Linked DNA regions of Arabidopsis thaliana. The protein of the gene in region 3 interacts with the protein of the main gene of each other region in a pairwise test. Each region holds a gene or a part of one and is shown on either strand. Other genes may lie near its edges. The genes, in order: bZIP1, BZIP53, BZIP9 and bZIP2.

Evidence for each region.
Region 1: the proteins of BZIP9 (region 3) and bZIP1 interact in binary tests that used the Arabidopsis thaliana proteins (3 or more experiments, as listed by UniProt).
Region 2: the proteins of BZIP9 (region 3) and BZIP53 interact in binary tests that used the Arabidopsis thaliana proteins (3 or more experiments, as listed by UniProt).
Region 4: the proteins of BZIP9 (region 3) and bZIP2 interact in binary tests that used the Arabidopsis thaliana proteins (3 or more experiments, as listed by UniProt).

Annotation. Positions count from the first base shown.
Region 1 is NC_003076.8:20,046,852-20,054,818, reverse strand, and holds bZIP1 (basic leucine-zipper 1), read right to left. Parts: upstream 2,991-7,967; 5' UTR 2,675-2,990; coding exon 2,237-2,674; 3' UTR 2,084-2,236; downstream 1-2,083. Other genes in the region: AT5G49440 (uncharacterized protein), read right to left, coding at 5,356-5,901. UniProt on the Arabidopsis thaliana protein: Transcription factor that binds to the C-box-like motif (5'-TGCTGACGTCA-3') and G-box-like motif (5'-CCACGTGGCC-3'), ABRE elements, of gene promoters involved in sugar signaling.
Region 2 is NC_003074.8:23,088,664-23,096,658, forward strand, and holds BZIP53 (basic region/leucine zipper motif 53), read right to left. Parts: upstream 4,188-7,995; 5' UTR 3,622-4,187; coding exon 3,181-3,621; 3' UTR 2,923-3,180; downstream 1-2,922. Other genes in the region: TBL6 (TRICHOME BIREFRINGENCE-LIKE 6), read right to left, coding at 1-479; AT3G62400 (cytochrome C oxidase subunit), read left to right, coding at 1,750-2,010; CP12-2 (CP12 domain-containing protein 2), read left to right, coding at 2,343-2,738; AT3G62430 (Protein with RNI-like/FBD-like domain), read right to left, coding at 5,132-5,419, 5,508-5,648, 5,757-6,641; SAF1 (F-box/RNI-like superfamily protein), read right to left, coding at 7,441-7,731, 7,812-7,949.
Region 3 is NC_003076.8:8,511,554-8,519,610, reverse strand, and holds BZIP9 (basic leucine zipper 9), read right to left. Parts: upstream 4,412-8,057; 5' UTR 4,353-4,411; coding exon 4,239-4,352; intron 4,134-4,238; coding exon 4,043-4,133; intron 3,946-4,042; coding exon 3,774-3,945; intron 3,682-3,773; coding exon 3,606-3,681; intron 3,528-3,605; coding exon 3,402-3,527; intron 3,325-3,401; coding exon 3,070-3,324; 3' UTR 2,942-3,069; downstream 1-2,941. Other genes in the region: AT5G24810 (ABC1 family protein), read left to right, coding at 1-67, 159-257, 331-388, 492-567, 648-777, 863-1,020, 1,189-1,261, 1,340-1,531 and 2 more; AT5G24790 (transmembrane protein, putative (Protein of unknown function, DUF599)), read right to left, coding at 6,547-7,119, 7,368-7,535. UniProt on the Arabidopsis thaliana protein: Transcription factor.
Region 4 is NC_003071.7:7,895,489-7,903,693, reverse strand, and holds bZIP2 (basic leucine-zipper 2), read left to right. Parts: upstream 1-4,451; 5' UTR 4,452-4,890; coding exon 4,891-5,406; 3' UTR 5,407-5,682; downstream 5,683-8,205. UniProt on the Arabidopsis thaliana protein: Transcription factor that binds to specific DNA sequences in target gene promoters. BZIP2-BZIP63-KIN10 complex binds to the ETFQO promoter to up-regulate its transcription.

The DNA.
Region 1 (7,967 bases), about 12 Mb from region 3:
GGTATCAAAAACACGAATCGGAATCAAGACAGATCTAAGAAAAAAAGTTACGAATTGTTAGAAGAGAACAGACCTGGTCACGACCCGAGTCGAGTCAGTGATTAAGGAGAGAATAAATGGTGGTAGAGAGAAAGAGAGAGGAATGGTTTAGAGAGGAAGCACCATTAATATAGAGAAATGGGAGGGAAACAAAAGCTTCTCACAGTCATGTGGCTTATTGGTAGGTAGTTAGTTCACAACTTCTTTCTACCCAAAATTGATTTCTCTATCTTACATTGACAAAGAGAAACACCTAACAGTTTTTTTTTATTACAAATTTGTTTTTGTAACATCTTTTGTTTTATTTTATTGCAATTTTGGTCGTTAACATGTCGTCCTTGCTGGTGGTGTTAATGAATAGGCTGTTTTGTCTTCAAGATTCAGCAATATTTTTTGAAGATTGTGAATCACGCATTCATCAAAACATTGTTTAATGTGTTTTTGAAGTATTTTAAAAGTTAGAACGTGTTATAATTTCTTCCTAATCACAAACATAAATAAATGTAAAGAAACATGACTAATGAATACTTGGAGAGAATGATAGAAAGAGAGGAGGACTCTTTTTTTGGCTTATACTTTCTTATGGAAGTGAAAGTGGTTAATCAATTGTGCAATAAAACTTATGTTCGTATATATTGAAGTAAAGTGATAAAGATTTATTGTGCATATATAGATGAGCTCTACACGAATATATGCATACTTATGTCACTTTCTCTTGCTTGATCTAGAACGTTATCATACTAAGACTATGTCTTACGGACTTTTTGTTTTGTGACTTGTCATATGGTCTATTTTCTGAGCGAAAAGAATTATCGGGAAGATAAACTTATGCCGTTGTGAGGTTTCCTGACCATTGCTGTGGACTTGTGGTCGCATATTTCATTCCTGACCATTGCTGTGGACTTGTGGTTGCATATTTCATACTCCTACAAAGAACGGATATGCTCTACGAATTGTTTCAGTTTAAGGAGGCGATTTTTCTTGAAATTGATAGACATATCACTAGAGCTAAAAAATCACCTCGATCATATTTGAAATCATTGAATTTTATGGTTTATGATAGTTCATCTATTGTTCTATACATCGAATATATATATAACATTTATAGACAAATAAATCACTTAAAATCAATTAAACTCCTACGCGTTTAGAATACTCCATGTTGAAAAAGATAGAAAAATCTTATAATTATCACATTTTCATTAATCTATGGGCTTGAATGGTTTACCGTATACCAGTTCACGTGGTCACGTTTTTAAAACGTGATTCCGCTATTTTTACCTTTCAAAATTTTATCAAGTTTTAACGTTTTCATGTTTAAAAAAATGATTCCATTATATAGCACTAGCGTATTAAAAATTATAACTAAGAAACGTGATTAATCTACAATAACTAGTTTTTTTTAGCAATTTATAATCATTCTACATAAACTTTCTTTAGTTCATTTCATTCAGCTAACCATTATTTAGTTATTCTATTGTTCAGCTATCCATCTCACATACCAATCAAACCCATCAAAACGAGAAAACTCTAAACTAAGGGGTAAAGACTTGACTGGTACATTAGTTGAATAACTGAACAATACAATAGCGGAATCACCAGGACGACAAAATTCAAAACGGAATAAACTTAACACGCCAAAAAGCTACTTAATAAATGACTTTGTCTAAACTAGTTAGTTATACATTTAACACATGCGAAATAGATTGGAAAATAGCTTATTAATTTTCACGGTTTATCACTCCGTGGTTATTATTGTGAATGGTATACACTCGGCAAAATCACGTTTTGAAACACATGAACATGCAAATAAGACACATACCATTCAAGCCCTATATTATTTTGAATTATTCATAAAATTGAAAAATTTGACACAAAAAATTGTTATCGTGTTACCAAAGCAATTTTTATCGGTAATACTCAATTATGACCAGAACATATACTACTTCCCCACTTTTTGCTTCAATTTTGATTACTTCATCAGTTCTGCCATTTACATGCAAGGTACCAAAAAAACTTTTTTTTTTTCTTTCGGGTTAACCACCGAAAATCATATAACGTTAAATGAAAATGTTGAAAACAATAAGATATGCAATTGTATCAGAATTCAGAAAGTAATGAGAAGAAACAATTCGATATAAAAAGATTACAAAAACTATAAAATGACCAAAGTAAAACACACACTAATACACAAATCTCATGTCTTAAAGGACGCCATTGGTTGTAGAGAACCACAACTCAATTTCCACGGTGTACGTCTACAATCTCCAACCGCTATTCCCGCGTTTGCGTTCTGATCGTCGACACAATCGCCACCACCACTCTGCGTCAGCGTTAAACTCGTCGTAGCAATCATATTCTCTAAATCGCTAACGTAACTCGAGAGCCAAATCTTCTCCGATCTAAGACCCGCGTTCTCCGTTTCGACCGAGTCAAGCCTCTGTTTTACAGCTCGACATCTCTCACTGTTCTCTTTGATTCGTCGTTCAAGACTGGAGATCTCATGAATCGTGTCTTCCATTAACTTCTGTTTCTTCAAACGCGACCTCCTTGCAGATTCGCGGTTTGATAACTTGCGTTTTCTTTTCTTCTCATCTATGTCGGAACCTGAACTTGTCTTCTCTGCGTTTGCCATGTTTTTTTGTTCAAGAGATAACGTAAAACCAATGAAGAATCACAACTGATATAGAATGATAAACAAGGAATTGGTTGAGATTTATCATTTCATAACTCTGTCCATTGTCTTTTCATAACTCAAGAACTCAAGAATTTCAAGACAAGAAAAAAGAATTTCAAGAATCTGTGATTTTGCGAGGATCAAGAGAAATTAAACAAGAAGATCTTTATTTATGATTACGTTTGATTTTAAGAGAAGAGAAGAGATTAGTTAGAAGAGAAATAGAACAAGGAAGAAGATAAGGATAAGATCGAAAATAAGGAAAGTGGGAGAAGTTGTTCGTTTTAGGTTGCTCTTATTTATAGATTTAACATTATAAAAAAAAATCTCGAATTTTTACATTAGAAAAGATTATCCAAATTGTATAAGAAAGGAAGATTCATCGAATGACGAATCGGAAAAGAAAGAGAATTTTAGTCAAACATTTTTATTTTTTACTTTTTTGGTTTATTGTTTTTATTTTATTTTATTTTTATTAGGACATAACAGCTAAATAGGTGTTGGTGTTGTTCCTTAATAGGTGACCAGTAATTACTATTTTTGCTTTTTAGCATTTAAATTGTTGTTTTGTTGTGCATTTAGTTGTCACACTCGTAGGATAATTCAAGAAATATCCTACGAAAACTAGATTCTATAACCTTCTAATTATGTATATATACTTGTCCAAATTTAATTCATCGTTTTGTAAGTCCCTTTTTCTGCAACTCCAGTAAAAATAGAGTATGATTGTCTAAAATCAGTAAACTGGATCAGTTAATGTCAGTGGGTAATGCATTAGCTGACATAAACACGTTCCGATCATTATTTCTTCTTAGTTCGGTTTTAACTACTAAGCATTTCAAAAAGTTACACAACCATTTTAAATTTTAAATTGCTAATGGGACAAAAATACCTCATTTAGAAAGAATCATACGTACGTAAACTATATCGTCAATGAAACACGAAGTTCTTTTGGAATTGGACAGGTTAAACGTGGAGCAATGACCGACTATTTTTAGTGTTTTTAATTTTGGGGATTTAGAGATTACGCTTAACATGGTTGACAATTTTATTATTAAAGAAAATTATCCATGTTGAAAGCAAAATTCCATTTGATATTACTTTTGTGTGGGTCTTATCTGAAATGATTTTAGTAAACTAAAAGAAAGAGACTGTATATATTGATAAGCCAGCCCTGCTTTCTTTTCAAATGAAAATACAAAACAATAGAAGATGGGCGATAATTTATTAATTAATATAATACTTGAAAATACACGATCCTTATCTGCTCACCGATAAACTATATATCATTATTTATTTATCAGATAAATAAAATACTTCAATATAATTATTTTTCATAAAAAAAAAGTAGATGCACTTCATTGGTTGGCTAGTTTTAGAAATTTGTTTAGGTTCTACGGACCTTTTGTTCGGGTCTGAGTCAATCTTGATATTTGAGGTTTTGAACAAACTAGAAAAAAATGAAAAAACTAATGCAGAAATCTACATGTAAATTGCTGTTAATTGTTATTTTATTTTAAGTGTTTATAACGTGGTAAAGTATATTAAAAGTTTTATTTAGATAACAAATTTATTATTATTTTTGTTTGACATATTTTCATTAATAAGATCTGATCTATAGATAATCCCTAACTATTATCCAAATAACGTGATTTAATAAAGTCAAACTCCAGTAGAAAATGTGGAGTTAAATAGGTTTAACCAATTGACTATTACCACCATTATTGTTTAAACTACTGGTTACATATTTCTTTGTTTTTTTTATGAAATTTGTTAAATTTGTAATCATATACATGATATATTGAAATTTAATGTTTTGGGTTTTAGGGAGTGTTGTAGTTTCTCTTTTTTTTGCCATTGATATTTCTCTATCAACTTTCTTAATTATTTTTTTAATTATTAGTTCCAAATTGTGGTTGAAACTTAGTGGTTTGTTTTAAAAGTGTTGTTGTCATATTAGAATCCTAATTTATAGTTTAAAATGTATGTGTATAAACTAAATGATAGAATAAACATGCAAGTTTTTTTTTTGAACCCTATATCTAATTTTAAGAAGACAAGTACAAAACAGAAATAAAACTTCTCAAATTCTAACACATTTATCTAAGAACGTGAACTAAATCAAGTTTAACAAATAAAAACATTTGCTCCTGTTTATCGTATTAAGAAAGTTTGCATTCTTATTTTTGTTTTCTTTGTTTTAACAGTAGTTTTGTGTGTGCTCTAGAAAGTCAATCAAGTGTTTCAAATATAGAATTTTATAATCCTTCTAACGTTATAGCAAATACCTATGTGTACAGAATATATATATATGATTTATCGTCTTCGACTTCTTTGTATACAGACATTTATAATCTTTTAATGGGTTCAATATAGATAATTGCTGATCCGACAATTAGTATATTCTCGTAGTTATCACGATTCATGATGATGATGATGATGATGATTACATCATCCAATTTGTTAGACAATTTCTATGGATGACATCTGATAAACAGAGTGAGAAGTTTGCTTAACGCGGAACATATATACACTCAAGTATTTAAAGAAGATCACGCGCGGCGATTGATTAAGCGAGAACGACGCTACAGTAAACCAAAACCAAATCTAGATCTGTGCCTCTCCGGTCACGGTGCTTCTCACCGGTGGCCGGAGAGGGCTTCTCCCTCTTCTCCTTTCCTCTCTCTTATCTCCTCTGCCTCTCCTTTGAAGCTCCGGTGGTGTTCAAATCTGGCTTGCTCTTCGTCTCTTGTTGGTGGTATGCGGCGAGTGGTCACGCACGGAGCAAAGGACGTGCGGCGTGTCTCTCTCCGTTTAAGGCAGTGGCTTTGATGAGACGACTGTAGCGGTTGTGCGGCTCCTATCGACGGGACCATCTTCCAGATCTGATAAATTGGTGGTGCATCGCCATGTTTCTTCAGACATCGTCGTTCTTCTTTGATTTGGGCACAACGGTGAGTTTTCGGTGTGGCAGATCTTCTCTTCTCGGGTCTCTCTACCTGTTTTTTCTCCAGCTCTGGTGATGGTGTGATTGATCCGACGGGCTTCTCTTGTGGAGGCAATCCAAGGAGTCGTTTGGCTCTTGTGGATTGTTCGTGGTGGTTAGTGGCGTTGTGGGTTTTGTTTGGTGGTCGACGTCTCTCCTCCATTGGTGGGCAGTTGAGGGTGGTAGCCTCTTCGGCCATGGGTATGGATTCTCTGTGTCCATTGGGTTTCGTCCCTTTTGCTTCATCTCTGGTTTGCTTTCAGGTGGAGTTTTGTTGTTCATGGTGTTGTCGGTGTTGGTTCATTTGGTGAAGGTGAGCCTTTGGGTGTTATGGCTATGTTCACCGAGGGTTGAATAGAGGCGGCGGATAGGTCTAAGTGGCATCACTAACTCAACGAGTTAGTGTAGAAGTCCGCGGTTGTCTTTACGTTTTTGCGTTAGTTCTTTGAGAATCTGTAGGCACCTATCTCGAGGTTTGTGGACGGATCTCAGATAGTTGAGCTCGTGGCAACAACGATGAGGATTCCAATACTTCGGTATTGTGGCAATCACGCAAATTTCCAAGTTTCGCGGACTTGAAATCGGTGTTTCCCTTCGCAACTTAGTCATAATTACTCAGCTGCAATCCGAAGTTTTTTGAGTAGTAATGTTGTTTTTAATTTTCTGTAGTGTGCTTTAATCCGTTCTTGTATTTTCTGTAACTTCTGTCAAAAATCTTAAAATGGTATAAAATTTAACTTTTTACCAAAAAAAAAAAAAGTTTGCTTAACGCTTACATATGACGTATCTACGTGGATGATTTATGATTACAAGCTTTTGTAGTTACATTTTCTTTAATTGTTATTTATCATATTTTTGTTAATTAATAATGTTGGATCTTTTTTTTCCAAACTAATAAAACTTAGCAATATGTAGTATATATGCCATATAGAAATACATACTCCAAATTATTTTCTTTTCTGGTGTTAATTTTTTTTTTTTCGAAAAAAAGAGAAAAGAGTTAAGTCTGTGTTAATTCTTTCTCTACTAACTTTAAAAGAGAGAGATCATGTTACAAAGAATAGAGAACATTGCGTAAATCTCTCCATCTCAAACTCTTCTTAGTTTATTATTACAAAGCCACTCTACATAATTGGGATGCAAACGACAACGTTCATGTCTATAGATGGATAGAAGATAACATCATCGCTCATATTTAGTTAGGCAAAGTATTTTATTATATAGTTGAAAGAGTCTATTTAGAGTCCGACACGTGACAAATTTTCTAAAATATGTAATAAAGTTGCAACGCGTAACAACAAATCGATTAAATTTTGACTTATTTAAAATATTTTATATGTTATTGGAGTGTACAAGTTTTATAATTTTTTTTTCTTATATTTTATCTTGTTATTTTAATAACATTACAAGCTATGAGATTAAAAATGCAGAAATCAATTTACATTTTGTTACTTTTCAAAGTACTAATTAAACAGAGTAAAATATTGATAAAAATTTGAAAGTTCCATAATCTTTTATTTTGCAGGATACCAGTCAAAAATGGTAAGAATTTATCATTTCACTACATAGAATACCAATTCAAATATATAGCTCAAATTCCCCCCCCCCCCCAAAAAAATATAGCTCAACATAAAGTTCACTACATAAATCCTTATTTTCTCAATATATCATTTTATATAATTTTTGTTCATTACTTTACATGGTATAAATTTTATCGATTTATATTCAATTAGGTAATATAATCTTTTATTTTTAATAATATCATATTTAAAGCATGATGATACGCGATATAATTTTTTGGATAAAAGTAAAGACGCGATATGATTATTATGTGTTCAACATAATGTACATAAGATAAAATTTATTTAAATCTATTAATTTTTTTTATAAAATCAATTTGAATGTGTATGTGACATTGGGACATCATCTAGTTTATTTTGAAATATATGTAATTAGGTAGTATGAAACTCTTTTAGACAATAAAAGGTAGTATGAAACTCTTTCTGACTTTGGTTTTTAAACAACCCATATATGTCTCTTGTAAATTTACTTTCAAGGTTGGTTTGAACTCTTATTTCAGTGCAACTGGTTGGTTTTTGGTTGGTTAGATTTTGTTTATTAAATGTCGGCCCATTAGTTAGATGGCAAAAACCATGGGCTTAGTAGAATTCTAATCTATAAGTCCAAGCCTCTTTTTGATAAAAGAATAAATAGAAAAAAAATGTGGCTGCTGGGATTCGAGCCCAGGTCTCCACGGCCACAACG
Region 2 (7,995 bases), on a different chromosome or scaffold from region 3:
GGACAAGACGCATTTGTGTACAATGGATAATCACTATCGTAAACCCACTTCCCTTTCGTAACATCACATTCTTCGATTCTCTTCTCTGTCTTCTTATCTTCACCATTGTTGCTCGGAAGTTCAATCACTTTAATCGAAGTTAAATTAGCAATTTCCCTAACTTCCTTAACCAAACTCTCGCCGCTAATCTTCTGCTCAAAAACAGAAATTTTTGAAGACCCGGAAGTGTTTTCGGGTGAATTGAAATGGGTAGAGATCAGAATCGGACTTGCTTGAGGAGAAACTGAAGAATCGGAAATGGCGGCAATAGGGCTTAAATCGATCTGGAAGTTAGCTTCTGGTGTTGGGTAAAGAGAAGAGTTAGATTTGAGTAAGGAAGAGGAGAAGAAAGTGAAGAAAACAATGGCGGAAGAGATTATTGTGATGATGAATGCTAAGACTCTTGTGGACTTCACAGAGAAACTTCTTTGTCTCTCCATCTTCTATCTCTTTATTTATTTTTTCTCTGTAACTGTTATAAGTTAGTTAAGAAAAAACAGTTTCATAATTATCTGTAATCAGAGAAATTTGAAATCGAAAAATGGAACTGTTTGAGAAAAGGATTGAAATTTTGGAGTCGACAAAGGTGGTTGAATTAGTGGGGTATAGAGGAGAGATTCGGTGAAGAAATGATAATGACGTTCTTACAAACTCGTGAGCTCATGAATTTTACAATAATTAACGGAACAGAGGGAAAGATAATGATTATTTAAAAAAGTTCAGGATTAGGAAATTAGTTTAGTGTGTTGACAGATTGGATTTGGCATTATTAACGTGGTGGGACACACTCGGGGAACACGAGCAGCGAATGGTTTACTTTTTTAAAAAGCAAATTCCATAAAATGCCCATTGAAGAAATAAGAGATCAGGCCCATGTTTAAGGCCCAATAAGACACAAATGGAGTAGAGAAGTGATTATCTGCTTACGCAACTTCTTCAATCACCCACCATTTCGTTTTCGTCGTGAGCTTCTGTCTCGTTCATCTACACAATCTGACTCGGTAAAGTCCATATTCTTCCCTTGATGATAATTGTTGTTTCCTTTATGATTTTGTGGTGATTTTCGTTATAGATAGGTGGCGGATTGTGAAGTTACGATTAATTTTTATCAGATTCGAATCCATTTCTCGTTTTTTTTCCCGTGTAGATCGGTGTGCTTAAGATCGGAATTTCTCGTTTAAATCTTCCGTTGATTTAGATTTGATGCTCTTAGTGTTGTGATGCTTTGAAACGTTAATCCTTTTCTTCGGGAGAAATGCCAATTTTATTTTCAGTATCTGGATCCTGTGGATTAGGGTTCTTGTATCATTTTGGGAATAAATTCAAAGCCTTTGATATCTTCCTTTGAATAGAGACGTAGTTAAGAGGTTAGACAGAAAATGGATCGAAATTGTACATGTTTATGTGTATATATAGACTCCAAGTGCAAACCAGTAGAAATTAAGAGATCAGGTAGATTAGTGTGTGTGTGTGTATAGATGTTTTATTGGTTGTCAATAAAGTTTTCAGCTTTAGGAATCGTGAGCATTGTGAAAGTATCAATTATGTTAGTATTGACTCTATGATTAAAATGTGTGCTAGGTTGAGAAGAAATGGCAGGACACAAGGTTGCGCATGCCACATTGAAAGGCCCGAGTGTTGTCAAGGAATTGATTATTGGTTTGACGCTTGGTTTAGCTGCTGGTGGTCTCTGGAAGATGCACCATTGGAATGAGCAGAGGAAAACTAGAACTTTCTATGATTTGCTTGAGAGAGGTGAGATCGGTGTTGTCGCCTCTGAAGAGTGAATGGGAATGCCTCTCTCTCACTCTCAATGTTGTTGGCTCGATTTTTCTGTTTTTATGGTTTCTTGAGATCTCAGATAAGTTACCTAAGAAAGTTGGTTGCTTGAGAAATAAACAACCACTCAGACATCAAAATTGGATATTTGTTAACACATTGTTTTCCGGAGATACAGTGGTTGAAACTTGAGACATCTGTCTTGACTTTTCCTTAAACAGTGTGTGATCATTTTATTATACTTACCAGCTTATTTTTTCTCATCTTTTTTGGATAAAATACGCAACAGGCACTTGTATCTTAGAAAACGGCTTGGATGGCTGCAAATTTTCAACATCGTACTGCTTCATAAACGATATCAAATACGTGGAACTTAATTGTTGGTTAATAGAGGATAAGAAATGGGGTTCACAGAATTAAATTCACGCACACTTCATATATCTTGTTCCCTCCCAATTATCTGAACTATCTTCTTTTATCAAAAACTATATTCACAGGCTGCCGTGTACCTTCTCCATCCAAAGATGGCAACTATAGCTACTGGTCTTAACATTGCAACCCAGCGTGTCTTCGTCACCAGCGAGAATCGGCCAGTTTGTCTCGCCGGTCCGGTCCATTTGAACAATTCGTGGAATCTTGGGTCAAGAACAACTAACCGGATGATGAAACTTCAGCCGATTAAAGCAGCACCGGAAGGAGGGATATCGGACGTAGTGGAGAAAAGCATTAAGGAAGCTCAGGAGACTTGTGCGGGCGATCCTGTGAGTGGAGAGTGTGTAGCTGCGTGGGACGAGGTTGAAGAACTTAGCGCAGCAGCTAGCCATGCTAGAGACAAGAAGAAGGCTGATGGTTCGGACCCTTTGGAGGAATACTGCAAAGACAATCCTGAGACCAACGAGTGCCGTACTTACGACAACTGAAGCGATCAAGATCCTGTTCCGGATTCATACGTATACGACAAATCTTTGTTCCGGTCCATTTGGTAATGTCAGGTTATATAAATCATGTCTTTGAATCTGAATTAGCTCTAAAAACATTTGTAATTTGTAGTTCCATAAACGAATACAAAAGCCAAAATTTCATAACAGGTAATGCGCAGCGAATAATAAGAAAGCTTGAATTCAATAAGAAACACATTAGACACCAATTACATGAGACACAAGACTAGAGGACTGAGGCTACAAAACCATACAAAGACACGAACAAATTGAAATTGCATAAAGATTGCGTTGTCCATTGACAACACAAGACTCAATTCACCAATGACACACTAATTGTTACAACAAGGACAGTAAGTAAAACAGACCAAAGACTCGAACTCAATGCTTCATTTTTGATCCTTCAGATATGAATCATCCATCTTCAGCAATCAAACATATCAGCAGAAGCTCTGATTGGTTGCATTGGACAAGGCATCTGCCAAGGGTTCTGCATAGATTCAGGAATCTCAGGAATATCCAAAGCCTGACCACTAATTTCTTCAACCATCTCAAGCACAGAGTTCAATGATCTCAACCTATCCGTCAACTCCGAAGCCTGTGCCCTCAAGACATTGTTCTTAGACTCCATTTCAATGTATTTCTTTGAAGCTTCATCAACCTGCTCAGTGATTTTAGCGTTATCATTCTTGAGAAGAGTGACTTCGTTGATCAAATCACCAAGTTGCTTCTGTTTCCTCATCCTTGACCTCCGAGCAGATTCTCTGTTAGAGATCATTCTCTTCCTCTTCCTCTCATCCGTCACCGTGGCGTACCTCGGATCATTATCGGATTCAGGACTTGTTTGCATTTGCAACGACCCCATTTCTCGTTGACTTTTTGACTTCTTCTCACCAAAATTAAAATCAATATAATATTATTCTTCTTCTTCTAGAGATATTTTCCTATAAAAACCTCTCAAAAACACAATCTGAAAATCCCCGATTTCTAAATCTATCAAAGAATAAGTTAGATCAAAAACGAAAACTGAGATCGAGAACGATTACTTCATGAGAAAACGTAGGTGTAGTAGAGGTAAACGACGGAGAAAGAGTGTAGAATTCGAATCCGACGAAACAGGATTGAGTAGCTCATAGATTCATTCCTAATTTTGTTTTTTTTTCAAAATTCCCAAAAACCAAACCCTAGATCAAAACAAGCCTCTAAGCCAAATTTCCGATGAGAAAGAAAAAAACCTAGATCTAGATCTAGATCTGAGTGACAGAAGAGAAGGAAACGAATCAAAGAAAGGAGATGAATTATCTGAGAAACAAGAATTGTGGCTGAATCGAGAAGATTGATAAACGAAAAAAAGCTTATGATAGGATCAAAGGCCAAACGAAAGAAGGCGATAAAGTAACACCAAGCTTATCCTTTTAAAGGAGAAGATGGTGATGAGCTGTCCTAAGCCTTTTTCTTTATTTTTACAATATTTTAATAAAGGAAGATAATTAACTTTTGGTCATAAATCTTTTTATTTTGTTTTTTTTTAAAACGCAACTGGGGGAAACTGACGCCAGCTGTGACGCCGCCAGCTGGAATTTTATAAGGGAAGCACGTTTTGTTGAGGGAAGTTTCTCCGTCTGTTCACGGATGGAATATTCCACCAAGATGCCTCCTCAGAAAATATCAAATATTATTGCCAAGTGTTAATTAACTGAATATTATATATTTCTGAATTTGAAAATTTCCTCACGAAAGCAACGTCTAACACACAATTCATAAGCGTAATTATAAAACGACCATTAACTATAACGAAAGTCTACCAGATTGTTGTTTATATGCGGCTCTCTTTGGTTAAAACTTAAATGATGACGTGACGATTACATCATTTTATTGACACGATTTTAAATTACAAAACACAAGACTGAGTTGGGAAGTTGGCTCGTGGGCTTTATAATAGCCTTAATTCAGCTGATGGGCTTAGCTCTCCCTTACACACTCGAAAAATCCAGTTAGAGATAAGAAAAACGCCAAGCTTATGTCAACAAAAGTTTGATCTTTTTAAGATTACTTCTCTCACAATCTTCACAAACTAGATTCTGAGCTTATGCAAAGATTTAAGAGTGTGATACAAAAACAAACTCAGTTCTCTCATGTCAATAAATGGGATATGTTAAGATTTTGTTCAAGAGGGCTTGATACGAAGTTTGCATTTAGATGAATTTCTCGGTAGCATTAGGAGATCCAACATGATCTGAATCTTTGTGTCAGCTCTTATTATTGGCTTAAGCTGAACTTCCAAAAGCTCAAGACTTGGCAATTTCTCTAACATGTGCTTTATTTGCACCATTTCTCCAACAGTTCTCATGTTGAGGCAACAAACACTTGTTTGTTCAAACAAACTTGACCTGGACTTTGCATTTGGATGAAGCTCTCGGAAGCATTAGGAGATCCGCCAAGATCTGCAGCTTTCTGTCAATCTTCTTTGTCTTAACATGAATTTCCAACAGCACCAGACACAGCAAATTCTCCAAGACATACTCTACTTGCTCCATTTCTTCAATCTCTCCACCGAACTCAGTTATCTTTAGGATCTCAATAGGGCAGGACAAAAGGAAAGAATACCCATCCAAGCATTCGCAAACAGAGTTTTCATCCCCATAGCCATGATAATGCAAAGCCTGCAAAAAGACCGGAATTTTGAGATTGAAGATTTTGTGAGTTTCAATTCTTTTGTTTGTCCAATGAACTTTTGGGGTTTTTGGTCACCTCAATGGTGAGAGTCTTTAGATTTGGAGATTTTTCAAGAAGAATACGCAGATCATCCCAACAGATAGCGTCATGAGTACTAACTGATAAATGAAACAGGTTCTCAAACACTGGGACTGCTTCCCTGAAGACCCAAAACAGCTGGAACAGAATTGAAAAAAAAAAAAAAACTAGTCAGTCATAACTTCAATAAACATTCTAATGTATAGAAAGATTTTTTATTTTAATATCTCAGTGGAGAGCACTTACGTGCATCGTGTCAACAGCTCCTAAGCGCAGAATCTGAACATTTTTCAACCCCTTGATCAGATTCCTAACATTGTAGGTATCCCCAATATAAAGAGAAGGAAGTTCTAGCTTAGCTTCCACAAGGGAGTTGAGCTTAACAACTGGATAGCTATCTCGGAGAGTATCAAAGTATTTAAAGTATTCAAGACTAGGAATATCCAAACTGATAGGCTCAAAACTAGAGCCATCATGAACCCATTCTTTACGCCGAATAGTAAGTCGCTTAAGGATCTGACTAGATACTCTGCGAGACCATTTCCAATCTTCACAGTTGTGGCCATCTATGACTAACTCCTCGAGCACAGGGCAAGCAGAAATAAGCTTTGTAAACGAACAACCAGCAGTGTTATCGAATTCGAACCGAACTGTATCAAGAAGGAGAGTCTTAAGAGCAGGAAGCCAAGCATTCTTAGGGAGAATGTCAATAACAAAACCAGACCCTAGTTTCATTTTCACAACGCTCTTGCAAGTGAAGATCTCAGAAGGCAGTGAGTAATCTCCTCTGACATTGATGTCCAGTTCAAGATCCAAGACTCCACACTCCAACACATTGCGTAAACAATCATTGACAGTTTTATACTGAGCAAAATTCAAAGACTGCAACTTTAGAGAGAATCTCCTAATACGGTGACTGGCAAGTCGAGCTAACATTATTCGATCAGCGAAATCTTTGAAACTTGCACTAATGGCAGACGCCGAGGAATCAACGAAAACAGCAATCGGTATGATGGTAACCAGATTCAGCCAGTTCTTGGAGGTATACTTCAAGCAAGTAGCTTCTTTTGTCGAAAGTAAGGAGATCACGCGATAGATAACACCATCTGGTAAATTACTGATTCTATCCATTCTTTTCTCAAACCCTAAAGAACCCTCTTTTCACTACCCAGAAAAACCTCAATTTCTAATGGAACCTTCAGTGACTTGACTTCAACATCAACCAAAATTCCCAAACTAGATCAATTTCAAAGGCTAAGACGAGCTTACTTCACATGTAGGCATGAAGCAGAAACCTAGAAATCATCGCAATCGCGTTTATGCAGAACCAAGAAAACCGAAGCGTAATTTGCAGAAATTGGGGTAGACGAGACACTCAATCCGATCAATTTGAGAGATTTCTGAAGCGAAATTGAATCTTCAATGAGAAATGGACGAAGAAGTAGAGCGGAGCCGTAGCATTTTCTTGAGAGCAGAGGAAAGAAATTTGAATTTTTATTATCTATTAATTTTGCTCATTTTTTATATACTCGGATACAAAAACAAAACCTTTTCGTTTTTGAGCCAATCATTTTGCGCCACCTGTAGTCCGCCACTCCAAATTTCGGTTTAGTGTGGGGTTGAATTGTTTAGATTTTTGAATTATTTGGTATAAGCATAACAAAACTACCAAATTAAAATTACATATATTTTCAGTCGATTTTTCAGATTATTCTATTTAATTCAGAATAAAATAAATTATTATTTCAACGATTTTGAAGGTTCAATCTAAATTGGACGTGTAATTCCTATAGTTGAATATGAGAAAATGCGAAGCTGTTTGTTTGAAAATAGATTGGAAAAAAAAAAAAAAAACGACAAACGTTCTTATATGTCAACAAAGGTTTGTACCTAATTTTGTTGAATCAATGAAGATACTTAATAAGTAAATCTAGGAAACGACCTCGAATTTGCACTTGGACGAAGCTCTGGGTAGCCTTTCCAGATCTGCTATGAGTTTCAGCTTTCTTTCACCAGTTGCTTGAGAATGAACTTCCACTAGCTCGAGACATGACAATTTCTCCAAGAAATGTTTCATTTGCATCAATTCTCTAAAGCTACCATAGTACTCAGTTATCTTTAGGACTTCCAGAGGACATGAAACTAGGAAAGAATACTCTGACACGCACTCGCAAAAAATATCGCCTGCACAACGATAGTAACTCTCGTAGTGCAAGGGACCCTGAAACAAGACGCAGAAGACTTGAGATTCAAGGTTCTATATGAGTATCTAATGAACTTTTGTGTTTGCAATATACATACGTCGATGTTGAGAGTCTTTAGATTTGGAGCTTTCTTGATCAGCATTGGCATAGAAGACCAACAGAAGTTAGAGAGATTAACGGATAAATGAGACAGCTTTTGAAACACTGGGAGTGCTTCACGGAAGACATAAAACATCTGAAACATATATATAAGAAAACCAACCAACTACAGTATTAGAAAC
Region 3 (8,057 bases):
GCCAGATCAAGCAATGAGTGTGGCAGGTCTCTTCTTTCGATCTTCAACTCCATCAAGCGAGGCTATGGTAAGTAAATTTAATTCTTTCTTTCATGCCTCGCTTTCTCTACTGGGGTAACTATAATGGATCCGCTCTTACAGATTCCTCTCTTTACTAGAAAACGTTTAAAACCCTGAACGATCAAAGAGTGCAAAATATGAAAGTTATACAGGAGAAGATGCAGCTCAACCAGAAAGAAGTTAAACGCTTCAATCCGGTAAGCACAAATTTCTTTCAAATATAGCCTTCTCAGGTGACCATTTATATCTCAATGAAAACATTTGATGCAGATAGATGCATTTCCTGGTGATATTGTTATTTTTGCGAGGGTCATTAATTTACTCAGAGGTATAATTTATGAATCATACTACTTTACCTCATTATGTCAAAGGATTTGCTCAATCATAGTACTTTACTTTTTCTTTACTTATTTATTTTGTCGACTATTTAGGACTTTCATCTACTATGAATGTTCGGATTGTTTATCTGGACATCATGAGACCATTTGCCGAATCTGTTCTGTTAGGGTAAGCACCCTTGGAATTTGGCAGCTCATTTTATTATCTCTTTGTGATATATCCCGTACGACCATAATGTGGGTTTTCAGGAGTATTAGTCGAGGACCAACTGTGGATGCTCATTGGATACATGACTCGCCAATCCATTCTGATGTAGAGTCCAAAGTGAGGAAGCTGCTCGCTGAACTTGGGAGTATCCAGAAAATACTTGGAATTCAGGTGGGCAACACTTTTTTTATTGTTTGGCTTGCAGTCAGCTTTCGTTTCATTTTACATTTGGTTTAACATGGCCATGTTCGTTTAGGTGTGTGCATATAAAGATGGGAAAGTCATAATTGACACTGCTGCTGGAGTGCTTGGAAGATATGACCCTCGTCCAGTTCAACCCGATAGTTTATTTCCTGTTTTCTCTGTGACAAAGGGTGTCACTGCTGGAATGATACATTGGCTTGTTGACAAAAGGTGAGTAACAACATTTTAAGCTTTCAAAAAATTTCATGTATTCATTTCACACACCCTGATATTTTGAATCGGCTCCAATCTTACATATTGGTCTCATTGTTAATTCCATGATCCCATTTGCAGAACACATGCTTAGTCATATTTAGTAATATTTATTCAATGATACAGGAAACTCCAGCTCGACCAGACTGTGGCAAATATGTGGCCAGGGTTCGGATCAAATGGAAAAGATACCATAAAGGTATAAGGAGCTACACTGTCACTTAACCATTTCGCAATCTATTGCCCTTCATTTTAATACCTCGGTTTTGTATTTCAGGTCCATCATGTGCTTAACCATACATCTGGGATGCAAAATTCCTTTGACCCTGTAGGAGAAAATCCTCTGCTTATTTGTGACTGGGATGAATGTTTGAAACGGATTGCTAATTCATCACCTGAAACAGAGCCTGGCAGTCAGCAGTCCTATCACTATCTCACGTTTGGATGGCTATGTGGTGGAATCCTCGAGGTAAACTAATTATATCATTCATTGTTTAAGCATAAAAACTATGCAAGTCGTCAAGTTGTAATTTTTTCTCTTACCTCTACTACGTTAATGCCAATCTTGCTTTCATCAATCTTGAACAGTATGCTTCTGGAAAGAAACTCCAGGAGATCCTTGAAGAGTCCATTGTTAAACCCCTAAATATTGATGGAGAACTGTACATTGGAATCCCCCCAGGTAAATAGTAACAGTCACAGACATTGTGAATTAGTAAATTACGCTATGAGCGTTATTAATAATTATCTAACATCTTAATTATAGGTGTTGAATCTAGGCTTGCCACATTGACGTTCGACACTGATGAAATGAGCAAGCTTTCGTCCATTGCCAGCCAACCTGAGCTTCCTTCCACATTTCAGCCTGACAAGATCATACAAATGGCAACCAACTTGCCAGTCTTATTTAACACATTGAATGTGCGCAGAGCCATAATCCCTGCGGCTAATGGACATTGCTCTGCTCGTGCACTTGCAAGGTACTATGCAACCCTAGCAGATGGTGGCCTAGTGCCACCTCCACATTCCTCTTTATCCCAGCCACCACTAGGTAGCCACACCCATGTTCCGAAATTCACGTCGTTGAAAGACACAACAAAAAAGAAAAAGGGTAAGGAGATGGCAGCTACAGAAAAGGGTAAATCAAAAGATCATCAAGAGAGGAAGCTTTATGATGAGAAACAGTTTATGAGTGCTAGTAGCAGCAGAGAGTCAAATACAGAAAGTTTAGCCAGGCTAGTTGATACTAACAGTTCTGCTGGCAAAACTGAGATCAATAGCGATGATCATCAACATGATATTCATAATATGTTTAGCAACCCGAGGATCCATGATGCTTTCATGGGTGCTGGAGACTACAGTGGCTTAGTAGTGCCTGATGGAAAGTTTGGGCTTGGTTTTAAGCGCGCCATTTCTCAAGATGGGTCTCTGGTTGGCTTTGGACATTCAGGGTTAGGAGGATCAACAGGCTTCTGTGACATCAACAACAGATTTTCCATTGCAGTAACACTGAACAAGATGTCTATGGGAGGTGTAACGGCTAATATTGTGAAGCTTGTTTGCTCGGAATTAAATATCCCATTGCCTAAGGACTTCGCAACTGATATAGGTGCAGATTCGCAGATGGGTACGCCTCTAATCAACTGAGGTTGGTTTTCGACGTAAGTTTTGTCTGCTCATGTTACAACATGCATAGCTGTCGCCTTAAATAGCTAATAGAAATTGCTGGAAAGTAAAGTGTAATGGATCAGTGTTTTTGTTTGTTTGTCTGTATACTTACTTAAGCGAACACATTTAAGCAATTTCCTTGGAGAATGTAATTTATTGGCCTATACATGCTTCAGTTTCCAGATTACAATCTGCAGGATTTGGAGCAATTAAGTATATGTTGACGAAACTTGAGTTTATTTAACGAACATGCTGCTTTCATTATATGTTTCTAGTTCTATAGCGAAACACATACAGGAAATTCGCTGAGTGATCATTACATGTTCTGAAGAAAGAGAGTCATGGCCAGATGTCTGAGACGCAGCTAACAGCTTCACTGGATACATTACCAAGTCCAGGGCTTGAGTTCTGTCCAGAAAGTGTCATTCCAGGGAACAAAGATTGGTCACTGTGGACTGTAATGGCGGGCGAGGTATTTCCCGTGTAGTGCAGACTGCTGATGGAGTGTGATGGTGGACTTAGATGAGTTTGTAGAAGTTGATTCAAGCTGCTAGTGAGTGACCCTCTCGCTACCAAATCTTCTGCTAGTTTCACCTATATAGAATTTACTTAACTTAGCACATTCCGGTTATTACTTTCCCAAATTGAAAAGAGCAAGTGATAGATGATACCTTGACTCTCAGAGTTTCAACATCTGATTTGAGAACTCTGTTATTTGTTCCAGCGCTACGAAACTGTTGTGTTGCGTCTATGAGCTGCTTGTACAGTGTTGAGTTATCGCCTTTCAAAGAATCAACCTTGAAGAAAACACAAGGTCACCATTAAAACATTACTCTCTGATACAAATCATCCAACAAGCTATTTGTTAACCTTACCTGAGTCTCAAGATCTACCAAGTACTCTTGCTTCCTTCTCCTCGACCTCTTTGCTGATTCCCTGTTTGAGTTCATCCTGAATTCACATCACAGAAAAAGATTAAGAAGAATTGGTGATTCTCTATCTCAGTGTTTTACATCTAACTTTTTTATTGGTACCTAACATACCTTCTAATACGTTTCAGATCATTGGGATCATTAGTCATTTCAGATTGCCCTGCTTCTGTCTCGGCATCTTCGTCATCAGAGTTAACATGAGAAGATCCACTTGTGGTTCTCCTAACTCCTCCTCTTACCTCAGGTTTATTGGCTGACACTGGACTATCAGCTGACAGATTCTCTTTGTAGATAAGAGCCACACAAGTAGTGAACATTAATATCAACTGCAACAACACTTATTACTTACATGGAGTCAAATCAAAGAGACATGCACATACCGCAGATTGAGGACTGTGCATCGCGAAAAGGTCCAGCCGGAAACAATCCCTCAGACCACAAAAGACTATCTCTTAACTCACAAGTGTAATCCTACAACCAAAAGAAACTAGACTCTTAATTACTACAATATCTCTGGATCTTGATATAGACACAAGCAACAATGATACGAATAAGAGAGACAACAAAAGGACTAACCCGGTTCATGAGGTCGAAACAAGGGTCTAGAGGGCTTGTAGTGAGATACTCTTGTAGAGCCAGCTCAGAAGCACTTCTCTTCATACCAATGTCTTTAGCTGTGTGATTATCCATTTTCTTTGAATGTGAACACACAAGAAAGAAGAGAATTGGTTGGAAAAGAGAGGAGAGGGGAAGAGTAAGTGGTGATAGACATCTTCTTTATATAAGTCTCTCTTCTTTACTAAAGTTGTGAAAAAGCTTCTTAATGGCTAAGCAAAATTGAATTTGCATTGTCAATGCAACGTCCTCATTTCCAACTTTTTTTTTCTTTAATGACAACAATAACAAAAGAGAATAGAAAAGCAAAGCCACAGAGATGTATATTAGGCTCTGTAGTATTGGTGAATATTATGGTACCAATTATATGCTAATGATAACCTTTAATCCCTTAACTAGGGAGACTATCTAAGATAGCTGGAGACTCTTTCAATATAAATCATATCTGAATTCAAACATTAAGTTGTTTGTCAGCTCATTAATATGTTGGAGCTTTTGATTTGAAAATGAATGTTATAGGCATATATATAAGCAGCTTATATTCATAAAAGGATCCTAAAATATTTCGAAATAAGCTTTTAAATATTTGAAAATATTTAGATAATAATATTGTCACTCATGTACATTTGTATTCTTGGCACATGTCAAGAACCTTACACTTACATAAATTACTCTACTACATAACCTGTTTGAATTCGAATTTGAAGTACTTAACGACTAATTTAAGATTAATATACAAGGGGCATAGTCCAATGATGAAACTACAAAAACATTGAAAATGAATAAATTAACCTTTTACGGTAAATGTTTTACCGAATATATAATTTCATAAAACACTAAAAACTAATCTTCATAAATAATTGATAATATTTGAAGGAAAAATATTGATAATATTGTTTCAGTTTTTTACACCTTTGTATCATGTAGTAAAAATCTTTAAAATATTTATTATCATTCATTACTACTACAACACCAAAAAGAAAAACTTAAGAATTTTCCGGTCACACGAACAACACAAAATGCTTCGTCCTTTGTTTACTCTTACTTTTCGCCATATGCTTTTGGAAAGCAGATCTAAAAGACATTTCTTTCCTCCAGCACCAGAAATACTTTTTATTTCATCAACTTTTGTATGCGTAAACCAACTTTTCTTTCTTTTGATCTGCACTTCCTTTAAAAAGTTAAAATATTTCACAACAAAACAATAAAAAGAAACAAACTAGGTAATGTGTCTTTAAACAAACAAAAGTTGTTTAGATCCGAAAATAGAATCCAAAAGCATTTTAAAATTATTATTTCTCACTAACTAGAACTTTCGAACCTATAGTGGACTACAATGTTTACAATCTACCGACTACAGTACAATTCAGTAACCATAGTAACTAGTACAATTAAAATTCAATCCTTAGTGATGTTGAAAATTTTCATGTAATTTAGATGATGATTGATATACGTTTTTTGTAAGAAACGAATTTCTACTTGAGGCACATGCTAAATTTGTAAGTTAAAATACAGAAAATATGAATGAAAATTAGTTTATGAACACAAAAGTAATTTTTGTTTTCTTTTAGCAAAAAAAGAAGAAGTAATTTTTCTGTTTCTACAAACTCTACTTGTAATCTCCAAACGAGGTTTTGCAAAGAAAAAGAAAAGAAGATGAAAGGAATTATAAACAAAGGAAAAGAGAAACAAAAAAAAGACGTTGTTCTATGTCTAGTGATCACTAGAGTAGTTGGGGTGATTTAGTTTTCAGAAATTACTTTTCAAATCATATAACTGTGTTAGTATATTTTTTGGTCATGGGTAGATAAAAGTATTATAGAACAAACAAAAATTCTCATTTAAAATTCATGACAAAAACAAGAATTCTCGTGACCAAATGAATTTTATCAAAGTTTATGTGACCAAATAAAAAACACTAGAATCTTTAGTTTCAGTTTTGAGGGACCAATTGAATCTTTATTTGTTTTTTTTTTTTAAAAATTATTTTTGATACTATAATATTTAGTGTAGTAATTATATTTAGAATCTTTCTGGTTACAGATTTAAAATATTATTCCAGTAAAAGATCATGTATGACGTGAACGAGATTGAAGCTAGAGGTTAAAGATCACAAATAATAAAAGTTCATAAAAGCAAGGCCATAAGTCATAACAAGAGAAAATCTCCAAGTGCATTTATTAACAATCCGGAGGTTATGATATCATCGTCATGTACTATCAATAAGCATCATCCTTTAACCAAAAAAGTCATCTTGCGTCCTAGATTCCTAGTCTTCACCACCATTCGTAAAATCAGAGGAACGACGTATATCCACTATACGTAGTTTTTCTTTATTGTTGTTGCGTGACACGAAATCGAGGTGAGAAAGAACAAGAACCATCACCAAAACGCTAAAGAACACGAGGATGGGACCAAAGATCCATAACATTAGAGAAAAGCCTGCGTAGAACAACCTGTTACCTACCGTGTTAAGAAAGATACCCTTTTCGAACATCTCGCTGACGTGCTCAGACGTGAGGAAGACGCAACCAGAAGGATTAGGGTCTAAGTTAGGGATGTTTACGAGAATGGCGACTTGGTTTAGGAAACGGATGGAGAGGGAGTGGAAGAAAAAGGAGAAGATGAAAATTGTGAGAATTGTTAGGTATTTGATGGATATGGCGAAATCTCCATGAGCACCAAAAACGGCGTCGTTTAGAGGCTTCTTGATGCTGTAAGTGCTGCTTAACACTGCGGCTAGACCCGCGCAGAGAAGCACGCAGGTCGTGGCCATCAGTGTAGCTCCCATTACTATGTTACGCAGTGTTTGTACCGCCAATATGTTCGTCTTCTGATTGTCCTGAAAAATTAAACAACAAACAATAACCAATCTGCATATTTCTCCAATTATAAATATAGCTTATAGGTTTTCTTTTATGAGAAGATTTCGGACCAACCAAGACTAATCAACTCTACCATCTAAACTTATTAATCCTCATATCAAATCTCTAAGAAATATGACAATAACGACTAAATTATACCATCATATTGTTATAAAACTGTAACGTTTTTGATAAGAAGAATGCAATGGCGATGATTATGAAAAACCTTGATCATAGCAGAAATCCAAATCCGGCGGCCGTGAGAGTTAATGCCGAGGAGGGTGGAGAAGGGATTGGTTCGGACCATGAAGGACAAGTAGATGTGGTAACAAATCATCATCATAAGAGCTAAGGGCACAAGAATCGCGTCTAAGTACCATTTCTTCCACTCCATTTGCGCTCTCTTTCTCCTCTCTTTATTTTGTTCAACCTCTTCAACTTTAATAATTTCTTTTGTCGCAATATATATTATATATAAAGAGAACGATGAAAAAATAATAATAATCTTGGTTTTCACATAAAATTTAAGTATACCTTAATTTTCCAATATATATCAATTAATATACATATTTCCCCATAATGCATTAATTACCAAAACACTTCCGAAATTCCTATATTAGCAAAAACTTCCGAAAACTATTATTCAGAATTGTAATCGGTGTGTACATAGATATACATGTTGTTGACTTGTTGTGTATCAGTTTATATTTGGAGTAAATCTGTTTATTCCCTATATTGTAAAAAAAAAAAAATGATGTACGTTTTCGTGTTTTAAGCAATTACAATAAATCATTCAATATTTCAACCTTCTACATGGTAATTAATAGACTAATGTGGTATCATATCCATCTTTATCCTAAACCTTTAATCACCATGTCCATTAATTCGACCACCGTTTCCAACACCTCAAACCCAA
Region 4 (8,205 bases), on a different chromosome or scaffold from region 3:
AGTTTTTCAAAAAGAAAAAGAAAAAAAGAATTAGAGTAATGAAATGTATTTAACAAAATTCAATTACAAAAATAAAATTAATTTTCTTCCACACACACATATCACATATGACATAACAAAATCATTTGACAACAACCGTGTGATTTTTTTTACTTTTTAAAGATGCAGAGAATCAAATCACTTTTAACAGAAGCACATGACCTGTAATCTTTTACAAAATCTTCTTGAACAGAAGTAAAATAAAGCTTTATTTTTGCTTCTTTGAAGGCTTTGCTTAGTGGTGAAGTAGTACACAATAGTAGCTCTTTCTCGATTTTATGGTGTTATTGTATTTAATTATTCGCATATTAAACTAATGCCGACCAAAACAAAGAAGAAACTACTAAATCACTAAGATTATTTGAAACAATACAACTATTAACTTCAAGACTCTTGGTTCTTTATTTAAAAAGCGAATGTTTTTAGGTATGCAGCTTATAATAGACCGTCTTCAAAATGAATCACTATAAATTAATTTTCGAGTATGCTCATCTGCCCCAAAGAAAGAAAGTAAAGGAGTATGCCCTATCGATATTTATGCTAAGCTTAATAATTTCACTTGTAAGAATATAAGTTTTCATTTTGGTTGGAGACAAACAAAATAAATAAATAAAGCTTTCGAAGTAATTATTAATGTGCCGAAAATGCTGACTTATAAGTCATTTATAAATTAATCAACTCAATAATCATAGACAAGTGACCTCATTGATATGCCCATTACATGTTTAAACTTTTACAAAGAGGTTCAATGAATATAAAACAAATCGTTGTTTGGGAATATTCCTCATCAATTACATCATTGAGATATTTATATATTAATACCTCACATTAAAGTGAGATTAAATTCTATTTGACATCTCATTTTTTACCAATTTTAAATTAATTAAGAAATTAATTTTCTTAAAAAAGGAATGGTCCAATTTAAGGTCTGACCTATGGGCTGTGGTTGCATGCAGTGACTTTACTTTTTTAATTTTATTTTAACAGTTACTTTTTTCCTCATATTTCCACTATTCGCTTCTCTTTCTCAAAGTTGGAAGCTAACAATTTGTGACTCATTACGCAGCCCATTTTTTGTAGACTTTTTATAAAACCTTGTCTAATACTATTATACAAGAGTCAAGACTAATTTTTGTGAATAAATATATTGACTCTCAGGTAAAATTAGGTATGTATTCTGTTGTAAGCGTTTTAAATGTTCAATCACTTAAAACGATAAAAATCTAGGAGAAATTTTCTCTTTTTATTTTTGGTATTCAAGTATTTTCTTCTGAAGTTATCGCATCCGTGAACAGTACTAGAAATCTACATTATAATGTTGCTTAATGCCTATATATTACTATTAACATGACCATACATGCAGATTTTAATTATATCTAATTTGCAAAGTGGATATGCTAGTGGTACTTTCACAAATCTTAACAAAGAATTGAACCATTCGAACATTAAACAAAATGTTTTAAAGGAGTGTTATGCCATATTTTGATGGCCCCTTCCGACCTAACTTTGCATTGTCTTAACTTTATTATCATGAAAACCTAGTTAGTATATTTTTCCATTGTTAAAACTTGATACGTAAACCGGGACGTCATTCATTAAAGCAAAACACTTAAAACTTGAATATATAACAATAATACAATTTCTGACAAAGAAAGATTCCCCGAATACATGGTGGAGAATTAAATTGTGGGAAATATTTTAAAACCGTACTTTTCTTTAAATACCAGAAAATATTTACAAAGCCTTTTTTAAAGAAATTTTATTTAAAAAAGATTGTGATGGTTTTTTGGAAAATAAAAATTATATTCTATAATTTTCGTCTTAAATTAATAAATTTACTAATTTGTATATCTTTTTTTTATAATGTATTTTACATATCTTTCTAAATAAACTTATGTTTGAGTGATTTTACCTAACACTAATGGCCAATTAGAAATTAGTCGTCATTTCATCATCGATTAGGGACTGATTTTGATAGATTATCAATATTTTATACAATTAAAAAATGGCTATGAAGTTCCAGAAGAGATGAGCTATATGGACCCATGTGCTTATTGTCCCCTGCATCTGCTTAGAGGTTAAGTGTTAATCACCTTTATTTATATATGTTTAATACTTAATTATTTTTCTTTCGCCAATCTCATAATTAATTAGGTTTAAATTAAAACTGGAACTTTGACGTGTATTAAGAGCCGCTCATTGAGAACATGGATTGTGCAATGCACGTGGTTTCGTACGGTGCAGATCTACAAAAGAGATTCTGCGTCAAAGACGGTGTCGTGCACTGTTGTTGTCTAAATTTTGTAGGCGGTGAAATTATGAAAGTTGTCTACTAACGGTAACTAAATTAACTACCAACGGTAAATAAATTTTGTCTCAGGTGAAGGGAAATTATTAAATTTGTCTAGCCTTTTTACCCGCTATAAGTTACTATTCAGCGTGGGACGAAAAAAAAAAAAATTACTACTCAGCGTGGTGTGCCGACATAAAAATAATTACTCGTGTAAAAGAAAATAAAAACTATGAAATACTTGAAGTCGTACTATTAAATTATAATTTCCTTGGTTAATATCATCGCTGTATCAAAATTTAGATTTAAAATATGATCAATGATATAATTTAAAATATATATATAACGTATGATAAAACGATCAACTTACATTGTTAAGTGTTTCTAGAGCATTTTAAAAACATATTCTATAATTTCATATATAACATTTTGTTCATAAAACTTAGGTAAATTTGATCTCGAATCTTTAAAACAACCAAAATATTGTCCACAAAAATTCGGTGTAATATTGAAGGTTGTTGTTGTTCATGTTCTTGATTACTTTTCAATTCTCTACATTTTTACATATTGTTTCATTTAGAAAAGGAGTTGGTTGAATTGTGGTTTATCACTTAATTTTTATTATTTATATGTAATTTATTTTTAATATAAGGTTTTATTAATTAATTTGCCTGTAGTATTGTTTTAATGTATGTTTATAGTTATTCATCAAACAATTGTGATCAATATAAAGATTATCCGACCGTTAGACTCGTCACAGGAAATTTTTCTGAAGTTGAATTTCAAAAGCTCAAACAATTAAAACGCGTAATGATAAGTGTTGTAAAATGTTATAGAATTAAATTTAAAATTGTAAACAAAAAGATATACAAATAAAGAAATGATGTTGATGATGATAGTGCTTTATTTTCTTATATTTTTTGTGTGTCTTTACCAATAAGAAAAGAATAATCCATTTTTATAGATATGAAAATTTAGTAAATCAATTGAAATTATTACAAATGATGTAGTGTAGTTATTTTGAAAATGGAGTAAACATTATCTGTAGAATATGAATTAATGATACGTGTTACATGTATTAGACATTCATTGGATTTGTAACAATTTATAAATAATTAGAAACATACTTCAGATTTATCTCTTATAACTATATTATAACTTTTTCTAACAATTTGTGACAGTTTTCGTTTCATTTTAGTTCTTACCTTCAGTAAGATCAGCTTTTATTTTGTGTTAAACAAATTCAACAACTCGTACAAACACTTTATGAGACTTTTCAATAATTAAGACGAACAACAATGATCTAGTACACACAAATTAGATACTAACATTTTTAGTTCGAAATCATTTACTAAATTCAAAATTTTGATATCAATCACATGGCTCGAAATTACTGTATTAGATTGAAATATCAGAGCACATATCAATCCCACAAATCCTCATGAATTTACTTAATCCACATACTTTAAATTTTATTTTTAAATATTCTATATTTTCTTAAAATGTTGGCTGAAATAATGTTTTACAAAATTTTATTTCGTTGGAAAATTATTAAATTTATCACCTTCCTATTTGATATCACTTTTAATTCACCAATTGTATGTATCAAAATATTCAAAGCCATTGACTGAATTAATGGCAACAAAAATTATCAAAGATTTTCTGTAATTCCTACATTGACTACATGCAATTTTCAAGACATTGACTATTTTCAATAGTTTTCACTCTTTTTAATCTTGATATCTGGTCAACTTTTACCACCTACCTATTTGTCTATCCTACTACATATCATTAATCACACCATTAAACCACACAAATCTATACTTACCATTAATATTTTTCTTTTGAATACCAAAAAAACAATCAAAAAGTAAAGTGTCATTACCAAAAAAATAAAAAAGCAACATCCACCTACTGACCTACATATTTTTTTTAATAAAATTATAATGAATCATTTTGTTAGTAAAAAATAAAAATGATAAAACAATGGGCGCGTAAACGATTCCAGCTTTCCCCACCATCCATTATTTCCCAAAAAATCAAAATAAATTAAAAAGACACAAGTGGATGCTTGAGATTTGGTTTCTATATAATCCATAACACACCCTTCATCAAAAACCTCTTTCCCATTCACTCATCTTCTCTTCCTTATCTCCTTAAAAATCTTCTGCTGTTTTCTTTTTTATATTTAGAGCTCCTCTGTTTCTTCTCCAATAACCAAAAAAAAAAAAAAACTCTTCCTCTGTTTGTTTTCAAGTTCTGACATCATAAATTCAGACCGAGAAAACATAAAAATTTGAGTCTTTTGATGATCGGAAACTGATGACTCCCGTTCTCTGCGAAATCCTGCTCTCTGGGCTCACGGTCAAATCTGCTCTCTGCCGTAGAACCCATCTCGTTCAATCTTTCTCCGTCGTCTTCCTCTACTGGTTTTACAACGTTTCATGAATTGCTACAAACTCTAATTAATTTTTTCAGACAGATCATAAAAAAAAACCAAACATAAAACATAAAACTCTGTCCTTTTTTTGTCTTCTTGTAACTTTTCTTGTTAAAAATCAATGGCGTCATCTAGCAGCACATACCGGAGCTCAAGCTCTTCCGACGGTGGTAATAATAACCCGTCGGACTCCGTCGTCACCGTCGACGAACGAAAACGTAAAAGAATGTTATCGAACAGAGAATCTGCACGTAGGTCAAGGATGCGTAAACAGAAACACGTTGATGATCTAACGGCTCAGATCAATCAGCTATCAAACGACAACCGTCAGATCTTGAACAGCCTCACCGTAACATCTCAGCTTTACATGAAGATCCAAGCCGAGAACTCTGTTCTCACCGCTCAGATGGAGGAGCTTAGCACCAGACTCCAATCTCTCAACGAGATCGTTGATCTTGTTCAATCCAACGGTGCAGGATTTGGTGTTGACCAGATCGACGGCTGTGGTTTTGATGATCGTACGGTTGGGATCGACGGATATTACGATGATATGAATATGATGAGTAATGTTAATCATTGGGGTGGTTCGGTTTACACTAACCAACCCATTATGGCTAATGATATCAATATGTATTGATTAATAAAATTAATTAAAATAATTAGATGCCCCTTTTTTGTCTTTTTATTTTAAAATTTAGCCCATTTTGGTGTTTTTGGGTTGGTGTGATGATGTAATTATAGTACATGCATCTTTGATTGGTTGGAAGGATAAATATAAACTTTATATATATATTGGGGCATATATATATGAGTTGTACTTTGTCATGTATTGGTGTGTGTTTTGTTATAATTATATGATTATATATGTTTATGTTATCATGATTTTGTCTTTCACCTTAATATTCCAATTGTTTATTCGGATAATGGTTTGTTTATGCTTCGAGAAAAGCAACTTTTTGGATTGGTAATTTTTAAGAATGAAAAAAATCACATTTTGGATTGATGATTATATATATATATATATATAAGCTGCATTTACAATTAAGTTTTGGTTTTTCTGCAAATAACAATAAAAAGGAACTTCTAGATAACATGTCAAATCTACCAAGTCAAATTTCACCTGTAATATAATTCGTTGTCAGCAACGTAAGTGCTAAATAATGATCAATTATATAACAAATAGAGTTCCTTGCGACTAGGAGAAATTTATCATAATGTATGTGAAAAATAAAAGATCTTCAAACATATATATGATGCTTATATGTTTAGAGGGTTTTGTTGCAAGAACCCATCATTTTAATATAAGATTATGGTTTTTTTAGTTAAAACACAGATGAGCAAATCTTAGGTGTATGATAATTATTTAGAAATGTATTAAAACCTTCGTCAGTCAAACATTTTTGCTTAAAAGTATCATTCATACAAAAGGACATAAATTTAAAATTCAATGATTTTTCCTTTTTTTCAAATGTAATAACACCAGTGATAAAGTTTATTGTACGAACGCAAAACGTTCATATTAATGATGGTATCTTGAAGATTTATTTGTATTTATTACATATGTGGCCAAGAAAACATATAACGTCAATTTAGTTTTATTGCTTTTGCATTTATCTTTTCTAAGAATCTCTATGAATATATTGTATTATAGATATATATTGTGTATATTATATAATCTATATTTTTTTTTTTAATATTAGATGTTTCAGGGTCAGGGCATATGAACGTAATCTATTCTTTTTTTTAAGAAAGCAAACTTTTTCCAACACGAATTTAATCCGTGACTTCAAACATTTCCATATTTACGGTACACTTGTATTATTGTGAGTGAATATGGTTTATGTTTATCCTTTATCTTTTTGAATCTTATTATATATAAAAAGGTTGGTGTTGTGTCTTTACGATTTTAATCTTAACTTTATGTTATATGAAGACATATATGAAAACGATATATAAACACCAACAAAATAAAAATAATCATTATTGGATGTCCTATTCTCTTCTCGTATATGTGAAGCTTTACACTTGCTGAAAATTATTGGCTGTTTCTTCTGATTTGTTCAATATATATATATATATATATATATATATATATATATAAATGATCTCATCACAAACGATGGGCTATTATTTTTCGTATATGACATGAGACAATTATTAGGTATGCCTATATATGAATGAGCACTTTTGTTTGTTTGCCTGTGTTAAAGATCCAGAAGAGTGTACTGATGGGTACACATGTGATTCATAAGCATTTCGCATTTTTCACCTCAATACACATAAATAAAACACTTTTGTACGCCTTTTTGAAATAAGATAACTTTTATGGAACAAAACAAAATGTAATAAAGCAACAAACAAGGATTATGGATAAATGACACATACAGTGTTGTATCTTCGATAATATTAAGTTCTACACCATGCCGTGGATAGTCCATGATTTAATACCGTTTTGTCGATATATTAGGGATGACTTACACACGTAAAATCAAAGAGTGATATGTTAAGGATGAGCACATGTAACATTGAAGAGCCTATGAGTTTTATTAGAGAGCGTTCACAATGAATTTTAGTGTTTGAGCTAGTTATTGATTCATTCTAAAGATAATTAGTTTTTGAGGATGTTAAAGATGAACACATAAAATCGGAGCGACTATGAGCCTTGGAGAGCTCACTTAGGGTTGTATTGTTTGAGACAGAGTTATTTTTTGTCTAAATATACTAAGAATTTTTGTTGTTTCCATTTTGGTTCATCACTATCTAAGTCTATTTAGCCCATATTGTTCTAAGGAACAATAGACTTAGATAGTGATGAATCAAAATGGAAACAACAAAAATTAATGAAGTTTAGACAAAAAATAATGTATTAATATATTCATAATTATGCTTTATTCAGCCCATATTGTTCTAAGCTTAATGAAGTTTGGCCCACTTAGTTATTGTTTGTACACTTCTTATAGAGGCTGGCTCAAGTTATTTTTGGGCATTGTGCCCACTGCCCATTTAAAGAAAATTCTGAAAACTGTTCATAATATAAAATCATAGGAAACACTACAACTATAAATATGTACTTAACCCTAAGATACTTCTGATGAGAGCAATAACATTGTCGTTCAATTTTATATCAATCCTCACTCGATCATGGTATATCAGAGTTATAATTATCTAACAATCGGTTACATTCCTGTTTTTAAGCCATGTACTTCTACTTTTTATATTTGTTTTAACCCAATTGCTTCCAATATTCAAGTTCATCATAACCTCTGAATTAAGCCAAAGTACTTCCATAATTCAAGTCTATAATATACCTCGCAATCAACCCAAATTGCTTCTAAAATCAAGCTAAAATGTTTTTTTATGCAATAAAAAACAAATCTCATGTTTTCTTAAGCTGTATACATTTATTATGTCTTCAGAGCTTATATGCTTCTTTAAA